Nothobranchius furzeri: one gene and its partner. The protein of the gene in region 1 purifies or fractionates together with the protein of each later gene. This does not show direct contact. Links are inferred from orthologs where the notes say so. Each region holds a gene or a part of one and is shown on either strand. Other genes may lie near its edges. The genes, in order: ptpn12 and pstpip2.

Evidence for each region.
Region 2: the proteins of ptpn12 (region 1) and pstpip2 purify together in Homo sapiens (affinity purification with mass spectrometry; 4 studies listed by BioGRID and IntAct, counting the BioPlex papers as one, with this or other methods). This does not show direct contact. The link is inferred for Nothobranchius furzeri from reciprocal best matches to the Homo sapiens genes PTPN12 and PSTPIP2.

Annotation. Positions count from the first base shown.
Region 1 is NC_091741.1:48,550,431-48,554,256, forward strand, and holds part of ptpn12 (tyrosine-protein phosphatase non-receptor type 12), read right to left. Parts: intron 3,143-3,826; coding exon 3,034-3,142; intron 2,224-3,033; coding exon 2,147-2,223; intron 2,040-2,146; coding exon 1,944-2,039; intron 1-1,943. UniProt on the Homo sapiens protein: Dephosphorylates a range of proteins, and thereby regulates cellular signaling cascades. Dephosphorylates cellular tyrosine kinases, such as ERBB2 and PTK2B/PYK2, and thereby regulates signaling via ERBB2 and PTK2B/PYK2.
Region 2 is NC_091746.1:59,932,995-59,936,820, forward strand, and holds part of pstpip2 (proline-serine-threonine phosphatase-interacting protein 2), read right to left. Parts: intron 2,000-3,826; coding exon 1,965-1,999; intron 1,880-1,964; coding exon 1,773-1,879; intron 1,684-1,772; coding exon 1,621-1,683; intron 1-1,620. UniProt on the Homo sapiens protein: Binds to F-actin. May be involved in regulation of the actin cytoskeleton.

The DNA of each region.
Region 1 (3,826 bases):
AAGAAAGGGAAGATTTGAGATGGGACGAAGATTATTGAAATTATTGGGATCGGTGCCGGGTTTCTTTAATATTGGAGTAATAGATGCAGTTTTGAAAAGTGAGGGAACAATACCGGTAGAGAGGGAGGAGTGGATTATGGCGGTTATGAGAGGGAGAAGGGAGGTGAGACATGTTTTAACCAAAACTGTAGGGAGGGGGTCGAGAGAGCAGGTGGTGGGCTTGGATTTACAGATAATATCAGATATTTCGGATGAGGTGGGAAGAAGAAAGGAACAAAATGACTGGCCGGGTGAAAAAATCTCAGGGGGAGGGGAAGAACTTGGAATTAATTGCTGGTGTATGGATGCAATTTTCTGAATAAAGAAGGTTAATAAAGAGTTACATGAGTCAGCAGAATACAGGTGTGTGTGTGTGTGTGTGTGGGGGGGGGGGGGGTAGAGAGTCCGGGGGATGAAAAATATTGCGCATTATTGAGAACAGAGTCCTAGAGTTGCCTTCATTGGAGGAAACCAATCCAGAGTAGAAAGCAGATTTTGTATGTTTAATTGAGTCCAAGTATTGAAGCAGATGAGTTTTGTGCATTTCTTTGGGTACTGCAAGACCAGTTCGTTTATAGAGGCGTTCGAGTTGACGTCCTTTGGCTTTCATCTGTCGGAGTTCAGGGGTAAACCAGGGGGCAGAGTTAGTAAAGGAGACGGACAGAGTTTTGACAGAGGCAAGAAAATCCAAGATATTGTGGAGTGTGGAGTTATAATGAGAAACAAGATGGTCAGGAGAAGCAGAACTAGGGATGGATATAGTGTTAATAATAGATGACAGGGTGACTGGGTTAATGTTTTTGATATTGCGGAATGAGATGTGACGGATAGGCTTAGTTCTTAAAGAGCAGAGGGGGATGTTGAATGACAGAAAAAAGTGATTCTGATTATAATTAGTCACGCTTGAGTTTTGTGAAATGTGAAATTGTGAAAGTCTAGGATTTGAAAAGTCTGAAGGATCTATGTCACACTGTCACTTAACATTCATGGACTCACCCATCGTGACGGGGAAGGCCGTTTTTGGTTTTGCGCCCAGGAAACAGCAGAGAACGTCTCGGCTAGTACAACCTCCCAGTTAGCATTAGCAACTCCACCACATAGCAGAAACGCTCCAAGCATGTTTTATTTGTGGATATAAAACATCATCGTTGCAGAGCAAATGGAGCCGGGGGATAGGGTTACGCTGCTGTTATCCAATCAGAAGCGAGATGTCCAAATATCAGAGAATAAGACTTCAGATCCGGTCGTCTGAAGCTCAGCTCTGAAGTGGCTCAGTCTACTTCCTGAAAATGGTGCAGTAGGAGACCCATAGACCAAAATAGATTGGTGTGACTTAGGCTCCCTGTAGCTCCTTTTACAGTTTTACAACCCCCCAAGGTGCTTTACAACATAATCATTTACCCATTCACACGCTGATGGTGATAGCGACATCCTAGCCACTGCTAACCTGGGGCTCACTGACAGCTGACGCTGCCGTACACAGGCCCCACCGGTCCCTCCAACCACCACCAGCAGGCAAAGTGGGTGAAGTGGTGTGTTGCCCAAGGACACAACGACTGTGACTGGGCGGGACTCAAACCTGTAACCCTCCAGTTACGGGATGGGCACTTAACTCCTCTGCCACCATCACCACGTTTTTCTTTTCAAGCGATTCCAAAAAACTCGCAGAACTTTTCTTTTTCTATGTAATAATTATAAACGTAACTGTGTGTGTTACCAGCGTAGGTAGCTCTAACAGCACTCCCATTAATCTGTGCTATTAGCCAACTCTGCAATGAAACGAAATCTGACAGCTAAAAACAGACTTATCAATAAAACACCTTCATTGTAATTAACAGTGTTATATTCATGAACTATTTCCCAATAGATGTCAACTAGACTGTGTTGCATGGGGTCGTACTCACAGCTACGTTATACTCCCAGTTCATTCTCCAAAAGTCGAGGACCGTGTTTGGCAGCGGACCCTGAGTTGCAATGTAGGCATTTGGGCCATCCACACCCTGAACGCAACGACATAAAGCACTGTGACTGTTTTAAACTAGACATTTCAACATAATCGTGTACTTTACAAAAATTGAGAGAAAAAAACATATAATTTGATTGTTACCTTAATAAAGTTTGCATTTATGTAATCTGAGTCCTGATTGGTTAATTTTAATGTCAGCTTCACCCTGCTGTGGTCAACTGTGGAGAGAAAAACACAAAATTAATATCAGAATGAGATAAATGGGGAAACACAGAATGAGAGAATGTTAAAAGAGCAAACAGGGACATGATGATTGACTCAAGAGTTTAACGGAGAAACTGTTTTATCCTCATTCCTGGTCCATCTGTTATGGATGAGCCTGCTCCTACTTTTGATTTATCAGCCCATTCACTAAAAGCTTTAACGAATGAATGGATGGAAAGTGGAGAAAAGGATAGACATAAAACTAGGACAGATGTTGGGTCACATGAACATCCCCGAGGTTGTTGCGTACAGCAGAAACACAACACCGTGTTTATTCTGTTAACATTTACACAAACACAAATGATTAATGTATGAATTTGCAGTTATTTTTTCTCATCGTCCTCAAACTGTCAGGCCTCTTTCCACTTTTAGCTTTAATACCCCCCTCCACCACCTTGTTTTTTTTACAGTGTAGGTGCTGATATCACTTTAGATTAAACGTGGATTTGTGGAGTCAGGCAGTGACCTTTAAAGCTGAGCGGATAAATGCATGAAATTTTAAAGCTGCTACACTTGCAGGACACAAGGCTGAATGGAGATTAAATTGTGAAGCACTGCTCAGATCAAACCTGTGTACAAAATGTTACCGTCATCTAAAGACATGTGAGCAAAGGGAAAGATAAAAAGTCAAATAAAGCACAGCCTGCTGACACAACACCCAATGCACACAGCATGTTTGCTGCTGGAGGATCAGTCTGAAATGCAGACTGATGAGATTAACAGAAATGCTTTAAGAGCTTCAGTGGCGATGAACCAGATCTTACACGGCAGTATGTCTTTATATCTGTTCTTCTTGACATTCTCCTCCCTCTCTCCCACGTTGGTGGGGTAGATCTTCTCTGTCCGGTACTTGGTTGATAGCCGTCGTAACCGCTAAAAAACAAAACAAAAACATGTGGGGAGTTATTAGCAGATAATAACATCTGTTTGCATGTGTCAACACACAGCAGGGAAAACGCAAATGGTGGAACGGATTTGTGCATTCATTTTTCTTAGAAGTCAAAAGAATCAGACAACTCGGAAAAGAACAGACTCAACTTGTCAGACGAGTCCATTTATCAGCATCAAACTCTGCCACCTCTGATTAGTATCAGAGACCTTCTCCTCTTTAGTTAGGTTAAATAACAGATGAATAAAATCAGTCGTTTCTTCATCAAAAACGCAACAAACACGAGTCCAAGAAAACAAATGCTACTGATATCAAGGTATCGCTGACTCACAGACACACTCCTTTGATGTGTGACGCAGCCTAAAGTCTAGTGCAGCCAAATCTAATAGAGGCTGACACTGATGAAGACACATTCACTTAATGGGAGGAGAACAATTACATTGTCTCTTGGCTGACAGAAGGCAAAAGCTTAGCTGGCTGTTCTCAAACACAGCAGAGCTCAACCAGGCAGAGCACTTACATTTCCAATCAATCCATTTACTTACAAAGGTCCTTATTAATTATAAATGTGATTAAACTACTTTAGGTCAGGGGTCACGTTCAATTTTTGGCACAACTGCAAACAAACATTCACTCGAATGTTATGCAAATGTTCTTGTTACAGTCAG
Region 2 (3,826 bases), on another chromosome or scaffold:
TACCGATGCTGTAGTAAAACAAAAGGTATAATAATTTATTATTAATAAAACCTTGTTGCAGCACTAAAGCAGAAAAATGAGATTTTGCAGTAAATATGCAAAATATTTACATATGAATTGTTTTAGAGCCCTTTAATTGGCAGAATCTGATATTAATTTAGTTCTTACAAAAAATGGGTCCCAACATGGTTTGTGTGGCGTTGCCATAGTGTGACGTCATAGGCACAGATCCCCTGTCCTCTTGTTTGGAAATGGAAATATGATCACCCTACATTAAACAAACTGTCCACCCGGGCTTTTGCGCTGCACAGAGACGCTTCGCTGCCTATGACTAGACGTCAGTTGAGAGTCAGTCTCATGCAGACTGACCAATGAAGAGAGGGCCTCAAGTTAAGACCCTCTCCTCATTGGTCAGTCCACACGAGGTGGGTCAAAGGTTACTCTGGGCAGGTTACGTGTTGTCAGGCATTCAAGTATTGAGTATATTTACTGCATATTACAGTAAAATATTCTGTATGTGACCACATTATGGTGATCCTTGGGTTGTGATGATGGAGCCCTTGAATATTGTTGCCCAGGGTACAACAAAGTGTTAATCTGGCCCTGGTTCCGCCGTCACATTCCCGCAGAAACTGGTTGATCACACCGGGGCCAGACTACTAGCGTGTGGTTTTACAACCACAATGTCCTCAGAAGCAAAAACGCTTTTAAAAGGGAGGGAGGAGTCCTAACTGTTGCTGCAGGCGTGTTGTGTGAGAGTGCAGTTATATACTGGTTAATATATTTTTGGGTTCAGTTGCTTTCATGTGGCCTAATGTGAGTCTATTTGGGATCATTGGAATGATCAGCAGCATTTCTTGATGTGACTTTATGGCAGTTGCCCAGGGCATCATCGCAAGGAGGATGGCATTCATTTACTTTTGCTTTATTTGGTATTTTTTCAGTCAATTTTGGAAATAGTGATCAATTTTGATTAATTCACAGCCTATGTTTAATTACATTTAAAATAAATGTCAACAGATGAGATCAAACAAAACACATGAGAATTGCCCTTAAGCTGTTTAACTTGGACCAAGCATTTTAGGTCACAGATAGATGTAGCTTAGGGTCTCTGTCTATACACCTTATAAGACAATTTAGGTGATGGCATGTTGTTTTTCTGCTATTGAACTGTTTTCTAATAATGTTGTGTTAAATAAAGTGAAGGAAGGAGAGAAATAACGTTTCCCTAGCAGTTTTTAAAAATTTCCCCATGTAATCTGATTAATCGATTAATCGTGTCGAGACCCCATTCGATTAATCGATTATCCAAATAATCGTTTGTTGCAGCCCTAGTTAGGACTCATCACATGTATAAGAGGAAATTCATCCCCTATAATTACTTCTCCATTTTTCCATAGATTGAAATAATTGGAATGGCTTTTCTTGAGGATGTTTTGTTTCCTCTTGATCAAAACTGGTTCCTCTATCAAACAGGAAGAACGCGAGGGGAGGACATCATTTTCACATGTGACTGGAACTCTGCCAGCATGACTAAATAGTTGACCAACTTTGCTCAAATACTTCTGCTTTTGTTTTACTTCAAAAATGGTACATGATCAGGAAAACATCTCTACTTACATCCATTGTCCTCTTGAAGTGTGAAGACTTCTGTTTGTGGACAACATCCATCTGTTGTTCTATCTAAATAAAAAGACCACATCCTAGTGTCAAATATTCACATCACATGGGGTGAAATGACACATGACAGCACCTGTAAAAAATGTACAAACCTTTTTCCGTGCTTCTTTCTGTTTTTCTCTAAAGTCTTCCAGCTTCTTGGCCTCCTCCCTCATGCTGTGGGCCAACTGTAGATGCGTTAAACTCACTTGTTCAGTCTCTGAAGAGTAAAAATCTTTTAAATCTATAAATCTACATGAATTATATGCAGAAACAGGTGAATATAAAAAATGTTAGGAACTTACGCAACTTTAACACATCGAGGGATCTTTTTAATGTGCTAAAAACAACAAAAAAAGAGAAAAAATTATATATTTGTACTCAAGATAAAAAATAAAAATAAAGTATAGCCAGAGATCATAATTGGACATTATCAACATTGATTTATTAGTGGGAAAACCAAATATTGGATTTGTCTTTTTTATTATTTTGCAGTGAATTCTTTATTGCAAAGCAGCAACATCAATTTAATTAACTACTGATAAGGTCATTGTAGTGGGGGATTTTAACATTCATGTGGACAATGAAAATGATAGCCTCAAAGTAGCCTTTAGTAATATCTTAGACTCAATTGGTTTTACCCAAAGAATACATGGCTCCACCCACTCCTGCCATCATACATTAGACCTTGTACTGACTTATGGGATAGAGTGTGAGGAAATAACGATATTTCCACATAATCCAGTCCTCTCGGACCACTTTTTGACAACCTTTGAGTATTTTATAACTGAGTTCTCAAGACCGGCAAAGGGTGGCTTGCCAACTCCGGGTCGGGAGAGAGGTCCTACCTCAAGTGGAGGAGTTTAAGTATCTCGGGGTCTTGTTCACGAGTGAGGGTATGAGGGATCGGGAGATCGACAGGCAAATTGGTTGGGCGTCTGCAGTGATGTGGACGCTGAGCCGATCTGTTGTGGTGAAGAGGGAGCTGAGCCAGAAAGCCAGGCTCTTGGTCGATCTACGTCCCAATCCTCACCTATAGCCAAGAGCTTTGGGTAATGACCGAAAGAACGAGATTGCGAATACAAGCGGCCGAAATGAGTTTCCTCCGTAGGATGGCTGGGCTCAGCCTTCGCGATAGGGTGAGGAGCTCGGACATTAGGGAGGGACTCGGAGTAGAACCGCTGCTCCTCTGGATTGAAAGGAGTCAGTTGAGGTGGTTTGGGCATCTGGTCAGGATGCCTCCTGGACGCCTCCCTGGGGAGGTGTTTCGGGCATGTCCTGCCGGCAGGAGGCCCCCAGGTCGACCCAGGACACGTTGGAGAGGTTACATCTCCAATCCGGTCCGGGAACGCCTTGGGGTCCTGCCGAAGTAACTGGTGGAGGTGGCTGGGGAGAGGACGGTCTGGAGCTCCCTAGTTGGGATGCTGCCCCCGTGACCCGGACCTGGATAAGCGGAGGAAGACGACGACGATGACGAGTTCTCGAGACATGAAAGTAAATTTCACTATAGTCGGTCTCTATCTGACAACGCAGTTGCATCTTTTAAATCAACTGTTCCATCTTTACTGTCCTCAGCATCTCAGAGGAACGTAGCAGAGGGCAATATTTGTATCTCTAGCCCTTCACAAATTGATGCTTTAGTTCATAATGTTACTTTCTCTTTACGTGTGGCATTCGATGATGTTGCCCCTTTAAAAAAGAAGGCAATTAGGGACAGGAAGTTGGCTCCCTGGTTTAATTCTCATTTGCGAACTTTAAAACAAAACTTTAGAAAATTGGAGAGAACATGGCATTCTACACACCAGGAGGAGTCCTACCTATCCTGGAAAAATAGTCTTGTGCTTTATAAAAGTAAGCTTCTATAAAATTGAACTGCATATTTTTCAGCGCTAATTGAGGAGAATAAGAATAATCCAAAATTTCTTTTCAGTACAGTTGCCAAACTTGCACAGAATCATAGCTCTGAACCATCTATTCCCTTAGCCCTCATCAGCAATAACTTTATGGGATTTTTCACAAGTAAAATTAATTCTATTAGAAACAAAATCATTAGCATTCTCCCTAATGCAATTTCTTCTTCCTCAGTAAGTGAGGCAGCATCAGAGGTAACTGCAGAACCTCATCTGTGTTTGAACTGTTTTGATCCAGTTGAGCTTTCAGAGTTATC